Linked DNA regions of Styela clava. The protein of the gene in region 1 purifies or fractionates together with the protein of each later gene. This does not show direct contact. Links are inferred from orthologs where the notes say so. Each region holds a gene or a part of one and is shown in the gene's direction. Other genes may lie near its edges.

The links. The genes of interacting proteins can lie anywhere in the genome.
Region 2: the proteins of uncharacterized protein LOC120342097 (region 1) and enhancer of rudimentary homolog purify together in Homo sapiens (affinity purification with mass spectrometry; 3 studies listed by BioGRID and IntAct, with this or other methods). This does not show direct contact. The link is inferred for Styela clava from reciprocal best matches to the Homo sapiens genes CHTOP and ERH.

What each region holds. Positions count from the first base shown.
Region 1 is NC_135252.1:15,318,175-15,324,023, reverse strand, and holds uncharacterized protein LOC120342097, read left to right. Parts: upstream 1-3,820; 5' UTR 3,821-3,974; coding exon 3,975-4,592; 3' UTR 4,593-5,335; downstream 5,336-5,849. UniProt on the Homo sapiens protein: Plays an important role in the ligand-dependent activation of estrogen receptor target genes. May play a role in the silencing of fetal globin genes.
Region 2 is NC_135254.1:14,324,814-14,332,581, reverse strand, and holds enhancer of rudimentary homolog, read left to right. Parts: upstream 1-4,737; 5' UTR 4,738-4,852; coding exon 4,853-4,943; intron 4,944-6,849; coding exon 6,850-7,067; 3' UTR 7,068-7,495; downstream 7,496-7,768. Other genes in the region: alpha-1,3-mannosyl-glycoprotein 2-beta-N-acetylglucosaminyltransferase-like, read left to right, coding at 137-277, 688-800, 1,352-1,622. UniProt on the Homo sapiens protein: May have a role in the cell cycle.

The sequences.
Region 1 (5,849 bases):
CAATATTGGAAAATATTATAGGGTCAAGGGTTGGGGATATCCGCAATGCTAGCGCTCGTGCTGCAAATTCGACAAATACCGGTACCGTAGTCACTTTGAAATTCGAAAGCTCTGATGCTTAAAATGTTCAACAGTACTCACACCATTTTTAGGATTATTTACCTCGGGGGCGATGCCAGTATAGTTAAAACAAAAATATGAAATGTGAAGATATGAGTAAACTAAGATAATTTTTTATTATACCACACCTAGTACAGTACCGGTAGTATTCGGCCATTGGCAAATATAAAATTTAAATAGTCTACTTCTATCTGTCTATGGTTCAATCTCAGACGGGTGGACCAGCCTGGAGCCATTTGAAGGAAATTTTGTTGAGATTACATGGATAGGTAGGTGGCAAGTGTTGGATTGAGTGAGTGTAGGGATGTAGAATAATTTTCTATTCTAGAATACTTGAATTGAGAATGCTGAATCCCATTCTACAGTTCTATTTTTCTGTTTTTATTGTTATTCAAATGTGAAGATCGTGCCACCACATTCAGACATTGGGTCTGGTATAGTTTAGTACCACATGCACTTCTAGTTGGCCTGGCTCAACTATTTTTGCATATGTCAATCCTAACCCAGTAACCCCTACCTGGCTACGTCACCGAAAAATTACGTCATTTCGACGTCACAGTGGCGTAATAAGGCCCACCAAAGTATGCGGAAGGTAGTCCAAAACGCGCAGACGATCATCCGAAATCGAGCAAGCTATTTCTCTCGTTTTTTCGTCACAACGATCCCGATACCAGAGAGATCGCCGGCGTTAGCGAGTTCGTTATCAGCGGCGCAGATGCCATTTTGGGCGATCGTAATTATACTTTGACAAGCCCTATGAGTATGACGTGATGATGACGTCGTGGTCCAGTCTGGATTTCATGGCCTTTTTGAACGAGAAATCGGGCGTGCAATCAGAAATTCCCGCGTGCAAATAAGAATTCCTGGCGTGCAATTATAGCTCACGACGTGCAAAACAACTGCACTCGCGTGCAACTGACTTTGACATCAGATACCTCTCAATACATCCGCGTAAAATTACCGGTATCGGATAAAAAATACGTTGAATCACAGAAAAAATGGACGTTTGACCTTTGACCCCAAACATTATTTCTACAGTTTGTCGCTAATTTTGAGAGTGTTTGTGCGACTTTGGATACCGGTACTGTTCAGTACATCCGTGTAAAATTATTGGATAAAAAATACGTTGAACCAGAGCAAAATGGACATACTTTGTCATTAATTTTGGTAGTGTATTTACGTAGAATTAATGGATAAAAAATACGTCAAATTAGAGCAAAATGGACGTTTGACCTTTGACCCCAAACATTATTTTCATACTTTGTCACTAATTTTGGGAGTGTTTGAGCAACTTTAAATACCGGTACTGTTCAGTACATTCGTGTAAAATTATTGTATGAAAAATACGCTGAATCAGAGCCGTACTTGGCCATTGGTGCGGAGGCGATCTTTTCGTCCATAACTATTCTCACGGGATTCATATTTCCTATCATTCAACACGATATGGACCTTTCCCCGAGCATCGACTTCCTTGTTTACTTCGTGACATTGGCCAATCAGCAAGATGCAAAAAAGGACGTGAGAGGAATTTTTCGCGGTTCAAAGGTTGGGGAAAGGTCCATGGTCTTTTTGCTTCGCAATATTTCGATCAGACCAAATCTTGCAAGCTGGTATTTGTCGACAATTGTGGAGTTATAATATTTTGGCATCTTTATATTACTGGATTATTGACTTTAAAACCATTTAAACCGATTTACATTGGTGAGCAATTGCAAATTTTCGGCGTGCAAAATTGTTTTCGCTCGCGTGCATTTTTGCGGAGCGCTAGCGCCCTCGGGCGTGCACCTGCCATGGAATCCAGTCTGGGTCGTGGTGACGTAATTTTTGGATGGCATAGTCAGGTGGGGGTTAGGAATAACATATGCAAAATTCGTTATGCTACGCCCACTGGAAGTACTTGTGGTACCAAACTATACTAGACCCCAGACATTGCTGGATTGAAATTTAAGCAAAATTTCAAACATATTACTGTCTTGGTATTTATTGGAAATTACCTGAGCATTGGTTTTTATTTGATACCTAACAGGCATTCCTCAGGACAGCAGGACAATAAAATTCTAGAATTGTTCGAAATTCATGTGATCCCTAGATAGAGAGATACTGATATGCTAAATTAGGACTCGCATTATACATTTTAATAGTAAACTAATAATATTTGATCGAAATTTATCACAAATAATGTTATAACATTTAATGCCTTGCTTTTGGTTCACATCATTTTTTCGAGAGAAATCGTAGGCCGCTAAAAATTGTCTATGTAAAATGGAGTATGGTAATTGGAATAGAGGGTGGCTTACCCACTTTGCGGCCAAGACCTATTTGCGACCATCAACTTCATCGATTAAATTAATGTCGAAAAAATTAACGAACCGAGACGATATTTCTCACGCGTTATCGTCCACTTACCGTATCCCTCGTAGCTCTGCGAAATTACACTAAAATGCGGCCACAAACAAAAAAGTTACTACCGAAAACCCGACCGAGGAAAAAAAACGGACCCTTTTTCCATGTCGCCAACTACCCATTGTCCCTTTGAAAAAGCTTGAAAATCCATACAAATATAAGAGATAAAAAGATGAAACTTGGCAGGTGGGTAGAGTTCTGTTTCTTTCAACCATCTTTAAAGTTTTACGTTTCCACATTCAAAGGAGGGGGAATAGGAGGGTGCGCATTTCCAATACGTCGATAATAGCATTGTCGACCAATTCGCGACCACCGTGTTTTTGTTTGTTTGATTGCTGTAATGCGGTGCTTTATTTATAATTTGACGAGTTTTGTTCGAAATAACCTTGTTCTTAAAATATATGACGGTCAGAAATGCAATTAGAAGCTAATTTTTTTCACGCATGGCTGCGTATGCCCTAGTCTCGACGCAGCAGAAATGATGTTCAAGGCTTGAAATTTGTGGTCGCAAACTGGTCGTTCGGTCGCAAATAGGTCTTCAGAGTGTCGTACTTTGGTCGTAGAAAGTTAATTCGAGGTTTAGCGTGTAGAAGAAATGCCCATGCACCTACTGTGAAAAAATTACCAGGTTAGAAATATTGGTTTTTGTTTCATAGCGGTTTGAATGAAATCGACCGCAGACTGGCTACGCCACCCTATTGCCAGTAAGTTGGCACCAATGATTATTATATGTTCAGATGTTACTTTTATAGTAGAGATGAAAAACGCGAAAATTGTGCATTAATGAGATTTCGTTGTGAGGTTTCATCGTCTACTTATTCTGAATATGTCGGCTGAGATTACCATGTTTGATGTCTGTCACTTTTACGGGCTCTCCGAGAGCAAGTGCAAGTATAATCAAATGAGAGTGATTTTGGCATACATTGATTAATGAATTAGAAAAGTCAGCAGTGATGACATCATGTTTGCAGATGTCATTGATTTATTCATAAAATTACCACATTGTTTTCTTTGCTAAGTTTGCATTATAATCATGGAATCATTGGGAATCTCATTAAATCTCAAATAATTTCAGCCACTTACGGACTTATAATTACTGATACCAATATTGCAAAATTGTTCTGGGAAACGAATCTGGCCTAATCAAAATAATCGAAAAAATGGAGCCTTGCTTAGAATAGCGGCAAAAAATGAAAAAATTTCGCTCTATTTTTTGCAGAAGATTTGTTTATATATATATATAGCCTAATTATTATACTAATTTTATTCATTGCCAGATATTATTGTGTATTTACTTGGACAAGATTTATTTTCTCAATATTTTGCAGAATTGTGTGTACTGTAAGATTTAAAGTTGAATTATTGACCCGCTTGGAATGAGATAGTTTAGTGACGATTAGAGTTTTGTTACTTATTATCCAGTTATTTTTGGCGTATACTCCAGAAGTAGAATGGCGTCCAACCCACCTGCCAAAATCGTTCTCAAAAGCTCAACCAAGGTCAGTCTTAATGACCGTTTTTCTACGATCATGAAAACACAACGAACAACTTCCCAAACTGTGCGAGCTCAAATGTCCAATGAGAGAATGGCAAGTGAAAAGAATCGTCGACTCGCACAACAAATGGAAAGACGGCCAGCAGTTGCTGCTGCGCTTGATAATAAGCCGGTGTCGATTCGTGACAGATTAGGAAGTCCTCCAGCACGAGGAAGACGGGGAATAAGAGGCGGAAGGTTTCAAAGCCGTGGACAGTTCGTTCGAGGTGGTCGTGGTCGTGGAGGGTTTCCCAGTCCTCGCGGCAATTCGTTAAATAGAGGCCGCAATCCAGGAAGACGTGGATTTATTCGTCCTACGAGAACTGGTAGAGGGCGTGGAACGGGTATGAGAGGTAGAGGGCGTGGCATAAGTCGTGGCAGAGGTCGGGGAGGTCGTCAAGGAAGAGGTGGAGCTAATCGACGAGAACCTGCAGACAAAGACAAACTTGATGAACAACTTGACAGTTATATGACTAAAACAAAAGGTGCAATGAATGCTGAGTTGGACAGCTACATGGCCGAAATAAACAATTGAATCCAAGAACAATCATGTGATACTATGGTTTCTTCATTCGAGGGAGGCATCTATGCGCCATCCTTTTTGTAACATTTGTTATTCGAGTTGGTCTAACCACTGCTGTGCGTGTGTGAGTTTCAGAATTTTATATCGATTCAAGGTGGGTTATACCAAATAATCCATTACAAAAAGATGGCTGTCAATAGTCTTGTCTTTTAAATTAGAAAAGCAATAATAATCATTTTTTCTCATCTGGCTATCTACAATCTTGATTACTTGGTATATAGGCAATGTGTAGACATTTGTGTATGGTTTTTTTTGTATTTCTCTGCTGTCCGTATTCTAAATTGATTTTGTAAACAGCAAAACTGTCGCATTCCTATTTTTTTTTGCTAAATTATGGAATTTTTCACCACATAAATGACAGATTTTAGGAACTGTTTTGAAAACTTTTCTGAATTTGAATTAAGTTTTGGGCCAATGTCTAGTTGTCTTTAAATGGAGAAATTGTACAAAATTCTTGTTTCCAAAAATTTGATGATGAATTAGTTTGACACATATTTTATACTACATTTATGTTATTCCATTTCAAGATTTAGACCGATCTTATTTCTGGTTTTCAAAATTTATTGTGCTTCATTTGTTGAAATGCATTTACAATTATTTTTGATAACATGTTTATAGAGGTGATTGGTGGTGGTATATTATTGCTTGTGATAAATGAATGGACAATTGTAATGCATTCGCAATTCATTTTTAGAGTTGTATTTAGAATATTGTATCATTGAGAATACCTAGTTCTTTGAGGTGGAATCGAATCTATCGACATCTGAAATAATGACGAAGTAATCTTGAACATATTTCAGGAGAAGATTGGATGCGGAATTTTGTGACTTGCAATCATTCTTTGGGCTCTGAATATCTTGCTTCAAATACCTGTGGTGGTAATTTATGGAATGCAAGTCCACGGCTTATTTGCTATGATTGATACAGATATTGTTGCATGACATATGAAAACACACACAAACTATTGAGCAATTTGTAAATTGCTATTCATAAGCAAACACTACCACAGGTATAAAGATGTTTGCCCTAAGAAGCTTGTATGAAGATGAGTAAATTATGGACACTAACATTTGAAGTTAATCAACTCCTAGACTGAGGATGCCGTAATGAAGTGAAGAAGAAGAATTTTAAAGTCTTCAACCATTAAAGAGAAATCATGGTTCTGCTGCTATCAATAATAAAATTTCTTTTTATGTGATATTGCATTCA
Region 2 (7,768 bases), on another chromosome or scaffold:
GAGTCGTATTTTTAAAAATATGAATCTTGTGATATACTTTGATACTAATTTTGAATTTATTAAGGTCACTAAAAAGGCCTCTGTTAAGGACAGTATGGCTTTATATTTTATTAAAATCAAAATATTATATATTCAGAGAAGTCTATGGGAAGAAGAATTGGTTTCCAAATGGCCACAGGCATTTTGGGATGACTGGATGAGAGAACCTGAACAAAGGAAAGGAAGATCGTGCATAAGGCCTGAGGTATCAAGAACTTCAACATTTGGAAGAAAAGGGGTAATTATCAAATGCATATTGAACTCATGGGTCTTTTGCTAAATTGGTGTGGTTGTTATTTTAAGGTTGTTATTATAGTTCTAAAACGCTACTGTTTATTGTATTTTTTTGGGTCCTTTGGGTCTTTATGTTTTGCCCCAATTTTTGCTGATTTTTATAGTTAATGGGCACACCTTCATATATCATTCAGTTCAATACTTTTAAGTTATTGTTGGAATTTCGCGGACATTCATACAGCAATGAGGTCATTTAGCCTTTGTGTCCATATATTTTAATATTGCTTCCTTGTTTATTTATAAGTTTGTGTTTGTAAGTACCTATAAGCCAGTATTGTTCTACTAATAAGATCCTATTCATTATTCATTTATTTTATTTCCATTGTGAGTAAATTGAGCTTTATGTTTGTACAGGTCAGTGCTGGACAGTTCTTTGATACTCACTTGAAATATATCAAGTTAAATGAATTTCCAGTCGACTGGTCGACAAAAGATCTCTCGTACCTCGTTAAAGATAATTATGATAAGTATGTTTTTACCTTATTGAAGTCTATTCAAGCTCAAAGGTTCTATTTTATATTAATTATGAATGTATAAGATAGTAAGTAATGTTTTGTCAAGCCGCTCTATTAGTAATTACCAACCAACGGTTAGGGAGATGTGTTTTATATTTGCTTGTCTGATAACATTCCGACTAATCTTTATATTATATTTGTGAAATAATTTAAAAGCTGTACTGTTCTACCCTCTGCCGAAATGGCATCAATTAAAATCTAACATGCAACAATATTCTGACATGCAGAAGCCATATACTTACGCTAATTCGTTGTCTAAGTGGTCAGGCTTTGTTTTTTTTTGTGCATTTAGATATATGCGGTTTCTCCGAATTGAATATTAATCTGTATATAATTCCCAACTGGTGTGATGTTATACTTGACTAATAGCTCACAAAAAAAACTCTTTTTCTACACGATTCTAAATCATGTGTTTTGACAATAATTTCCTACCTCATTTTAGAGTTTTTCCTCTCTTTATTCATGATTAGTAGACTTGCATTTCTTTTTTTTTATATTTCAAGATCTTTCAAAGATAAAGTATACAACCTTCCACTGTTTCGAATCAGCGATCTTAAAGAAAATAAAGATCCAGACTCTCGTGAAGTTCGAATTGAATACACAATGTCACATACTTTTAAAGCTTTTGCTAAGGAGCTTGGACTTATGTCCGATTTTAAAAAAGGGGTGCCAAGGACAGCATATATGGGTATTGTAACCACTATTTTCAGAGGTAGAAGAGTTTATCTTGCTCCTCCTGTAGATTGGACTGGTTATGTTGAAAGCTGGTCATGATTTTTAGCGTTTGAGTGGTATTGGTCAACATTGTTTCATGTATGCAGTATCAGTTGCAATAATACTCAAATTTTAAATGCCGAATTATCCGAGTGGGAATGTTTTAGCCATTGTCATGCGTTGCGATTTGATTGTTTGCCATGCGATTTTCTACCATTTTGAAATAAAAAATTTCCTGAATTATTTATATTAAGCACAATTAGGAGAATAATATTCAAGAGCAAAGGTCGTAGTTGCAAGTCATTTTGTGACAATCCCTAGGGGCAATTCGGTCATACCTAAAAACACCTACCGACCCCCCCCCAAATCGTGTCTATATAACATACTCTTTACTTAGAATTTGAACGTCTTCGAGAGATTGTGAAACCGTATTGAATAGTGTTATGTGCAATCAAAATATTCATTTTGGGTCACGCCAAAGGTAGAAATGTATCAAATGGCTTATGCTTTATTTGGTGTGCTTTATTTTTACTGTTTTAAAATGTGCCAACGAAAGTACTCTTGAAGATATAAATACATTTGTCTTCGTATATAGAAATGGTATAGAAGACCTCGATTTTGTATGAAATATTCCGACAGAATTCAAAATTATATCCATCTTTGCTTCTACTTTTTATGGCATCTCTGTATTACTGAGTGAAGAAGTTAATTTTATCAAGGTGTGAAGTGAGGAAATTTTTATTATCTGCGTATTATCGATAATCATATACATGCACTGTTTAAGACATATTTTTGAATGTTGATATTATATGATTTATGAAATGTAAAATGTGCAACATGAATTTCAAATCAACACACATTGTTAATTGGGTATCATCTGTTCAACACAGGCCTGTTGGTTCAGTTATTCTCTCCCAGTTCCAGAACAGTTTTTATTGAGGAAAACCTACCGGTAATTGAACGTAATTTTTTCTTCATCATTTTCATTGAATTGGTGGTTGATATATTTTGAAAGTGATCATACTTATGTTAGGCATAGGCTTCTGTCGCCTCAGATAATATATTCATTTTCATTTGCCACTCTGCTATAATATGATCAATAAATGCGCTAGAAACAAAATCTTATTAAATTTTTCTATATAATGATTAATGTACATTCTATCTACAAATCTCCTTTTGCCAAGTTGCAACTGTTACAAGGCATCGTTAATATCTGATCAAATTTTTAGAGACCAGTACTTATTCTGATTGTATTTGTACAAATCGCCGATAATTCTCAATTCAGCAATTTAAAAGATATCTTGATCAAGGACTACCCAAAGTTTTACCAATGTGCTTTTGAAATATATTGTGCAATCTACATAATTAAGTCTTTTGCAGCAGTGAGATTAGGACAGTACCTCTTCAAGTTTTTTGATTGTGCGTATTTTGTAATGTCTCCCACGGAACACTGCCTTGAAAACTCTTTAATCGCCATTTGTTAATAAAAATGTTCGCCCGATAGGAATATTGGCAGGAATGGAAATGGAACCACAAGGACGCTTTGGGTTTTCAAATAAGTGAGCATGTAATTCGAGCATTGTGCCGATTTTGTTCAAATTCCGCAGTGTTTAAATGCTCTTCGTTTGCCTTGACCAACTAGCTGCTCTTGTGATATATTGTACAAGGTTTGTTAGTTTAATCTTGATTGTTCAAGATGGTTGAACCGTTGATAAAGTTGAACAGTTTATCTTTATCCTATTCAAAATTTTACATGCCAAAGAAAACATTCGTCAAAGATTTATGCGGTAAATCACAAATTAAGAGTAGGAGGCTGAATCGTACCGCCCCTGCTTGGTTTTAAAGCATGATTGTTGCAAGCGTGAACTACTGAACTTCCCCGAAAATAAGACCCAGTCCGAATTTTAAAAACGATTTTAATATAAGCCCGACTCTTAAAATAAGACCTAGTCAATGACGCAATTTTTTTTTTGACCTAGTCGATAGCAAGACATCTCGCTTACACGTTTAAAATGATTAATAATCTATGTTTTGCAGTTATTTTGAATAAAAACGCTATATTTATGATTTAATGGATATCGGTTTTCATGTTTTGTATACTTGAAAATCCCGTAGTTCTCTACTTTGTAATTTTGTTTTTGAAAATGAAAATAAGCCCTAGTGTTATTTTTCGGAGAAAGATTGAAATAAGACCCAGTCTTAACCCAGTATTAACACAGTGACAATCATCAATATTTACAACCAATGAAATAAAATCGTCATTGATGTTAACACTGGTATGGGATATGTTATTATTTTTGGACTTATTTGAAGATATAGCTGGAAATCCAGAACAGCATTATCATTTATACATTGATCATCCAGACCTAATTTTGTATGCTTCTTTGAGGTGTTCAATTGTCTCAAAACAGGACCCTTTCCAAATAAAGACAAAATAGAGAAAGGCGAAGACTTTTTTCAATTAGCTGTCAGTTCTTTTCAGCAACTTGGGACAAAATTGTGAAGATGTGATCTAGTTTGCACGCACAAAATGGCGAAAATCATTGGACTATCTATAGGATCCCATTAGACATAGGGTCAACGGGGATTGAACCACGTGCCGCTTACATGTACTGCTACCTTGCGATATCAATTTTTGATAAAACTAAAGATCCTGAAAGACGGTATGTTAGTCGTTGGGAAGACATAATAACAAATATCCATGCTTTCAAGTCCATCCATTCTATCCAAGTCCATGCTTCTGAAAAAAGACAATATAACTAATCCCATACCCGACTTGGAATGGTAACCGGACGAGAGGCCGTAGTTCGCCATATGGATAAGCCGTCTTATCGGCTTTCCTCTCCCCCGGGATAAATATGTAAATCCTATTCTATCCTAAATAATTATTTTTGATTCACAAATATTTTTTGGAACTATACTAAAAAGAGGCGATGTTTACAACTACGCTTGAATATATATGTCTAGTCTAGTCGAAAGAAATGTCTGAGCGGCGGCATAAATTGCAATTGTTACGTCATTGTTGACTCTTTGCTGATTGGTAATTGTTACGGAAATAACAGGGAAATCGATGCTCGGGAAAACATCCATAGTTACGGGGCAAATACATCGCGCACGGAACACATTTGTATGAAATTCGGTAGTTTAGGTTTGTCTGAAATATGATAATCTGACAAAACGGCGCTTGCTTATCTGACTGGTGACTGGGTTCTGCTGCTGTCGATTCCTTGCGTGCGAATACTGGAATAGGCGGTTTTGTTCTCCTCGTAGCAGATTTTAGAAAATTTAAAATGTCTCACACAATACTTCTTGTTCAGCCAACGAAAAAGCCTGAGGGGCGGACATATTCAGACTACGAATCGGTGAATGAATGCATGGAGGGTGAGTATCCTAATATCAGTACATATCATATCAGTACATAATGTCTGAATGTGGTACGGTACCGTAATGTGACCTGCATACATTGTCAGTTTCAATAATTCGTAACGAGTCGTTATTATCAATTGTTTTATTGTATTGTGTCTGTTTATTGAATGCTAATATGCTTAAAAACCATGACTACCAACAATACCGGTATAAGGGTCTCATGTAGTTTCGTACCGGTACTACCGTACCTAACATACTTCTAGTGAGCGTAGCATACCGGTAACAATTTTTCGATATGTCAATCCTAACTGCCATCTGACTACGCCATAACTACGTTAGGTATGGAACTACACGAGACCCCAATATAAATGCCCCAAATTGCGCGGCGGTGTGGCTCAACGGGCTAAGCGTTAGGAATACGCTCACCACCGCACCTCTAATTACTCTGCGTGGGTTCGCAGGTTCGAATCCCATGCAGAGATGGTTATGTGCGAGAGGATTGCTGGACTCCTCGCCGTCGTTGGGTGGTTCACGTAACCGCTGGTCGGTTACGGCTTCCTCCACCACCAAGTCCATGCTTCCGAAAACAAACAATAAAACTAATCCCATACCCGACTTGGAATGGTAACCGGACGAGAGGCCGTGGTTCGCCATATTGATAAGCCATCTTATCGGCTTTCCTCCCCCCCCCCCCCCCGGGATAAATATGTAAATCCTATCCTATATAAATGCCCCAATACAAAGTCCAATTGATGTCCAGGAGTCACAGATCAGAATACAATACGAACTACTGTGCTTATAATTCATATAAGACAGCAAATATTTTCTGAAAATGGTGCTTGATGGTTTCATGCTTTGAATTAAGTAGGCCTATCAGTATTAGAAATCTCAAAAATAGTTTCCGGTGCATTTCGACAATTTCCAGAACGCCATATCAATTTTATGCCTAAATACCAGTACTTAAGAATTGTAATAATTGTTTCTCGTCTTTATAATGTTCATATATAATGAACATTGATATTTAAATAAAAAAACACAGCGATACATCAAGAAAGGACAAAACATCTAGGAAACTAATGTTTTAAGAAGAGAATTTAATTTAAAAAAAAAAAACCAGTATGACGGTCGAGAATAGCCCCCACATTAAAAGACATCAATTATACCAGTGAGTGCAAACCCCTCTTTTACTAGACTGTCTGGGCTTTCATTTTGGCACGAACAGCCACTGTGCAGTGAACGAATAGAAAGCGCAGACCAAAAAAATTACACCATTGGATTCCTTCCTTAGAAAAAATAATATAACCTCCAAAAAAAAAAATAGCAATTGAGAGTTTTTAGTACAATACTGCAATTTTGGTCATACGCTGGCCGGCGCACGTCGCTATGGTTTAAAAGTATTATTGAGACAGGCATGGCGCGATCTGACACATCTACAGTTACATACTACAGTTATGCCAGACGATCTCTTCCCAGAGACAAATAGAGTTTGTTTTATTGAACCAAATGTCTGGTCAAATATGTGAATTCATTTTAATTTTTCATAGCATGTCCTTGATGAATAAATTGTAAAATATATAGATAACTTTTTCATATCAGCTTATAATGGGAAAATTATTATAATTGAACTAGATTTAACCCAAAATTCAAATTAAAAACTTGTTCGTTTAAATATGGTTTGTTACTATATACTGATATGTGTTTACTGTTAACACAGGATAAATGTGAGAATATAAAATTAATTACTCAATATCAAAGGTGAAAGCATTACGCTGGAAATCTACACTTCAGTTACCTGTCCATTTTTGTATGCGTGTATTTCACTCACATAAAACAGATTGAAAATATCAATCACATAGTACTAATATGTTAGCATGTGTTTTTCCAAAAATATTTTTATTTTGAAATAATTTTACATTTCTAGGTGTGTGCAAGATCTATGAAGAACATCTCAAGCGAATCAATCCCAATTGCCCTTCAATTACTTACGACATCAGTCAACTGTTTGATTTCATCGATGAACTTGCTGATCTCTGTTGCCTAGTATTTCAAAAATCTACCCAGACATACGCACCATTCAACAAAGAGTGGATCAAAGAAAAAATCTACATTCTCCTTCGGAAACAAGCTGGCAAGACATAAATATTGGAGCGAAGATACTAGGCATGAATTATGGAACGATCTATCTTCAATCATGCTTGAGAAATAGATACCCATTTCTAGTTTTAGTTTGATTGAAGATTGCCGTCATTGACTTTTGTTTTGACAGGCTTGAATTGACTGGTATAACACATTATTGAATGTAGTTTGCAATTTTATTGACCACTTTACGGAGTTGAATTTCAATATCTGTATTTGATTTCTCTTACCAATGAACGTCCTTCAATCTCAAATGTAATTTTTGTGATTGTTTTATCTTTTAACACAAGATAGGCAAGCATCTCCTTTGTGTAAGTAGTGTCAATGGTTTTTAATTGTTGGTATCGTCTTTGATTTCTTATAGCTGTCATCGTGAAGAATTAGTTTGGGAAGCAATGTTATTTGATATGTAAATAGCAATTTGAAATGTTTGTTCGTTTTTATTTGTATAATGCGTTTCAGTTGGGAGAAATGTTAGAAATTTGGAGTTTCACAGAATATCAATTGCAGTAGTGCAATTCTCAATGTGGTGGCCATTTAATGAGATGTCATGAAAACTAGCTATGAAATCTCCTGTATACTGTCAAATCGATGTTGTATATGACGTCATTGCAACTGATAATAAGGACTAAAGTTTGGTCAAAGATTTGCATGTGCAGATAATCCATTTGAGCTTGACCAGAGAGAATTGTGCCTACAAATAT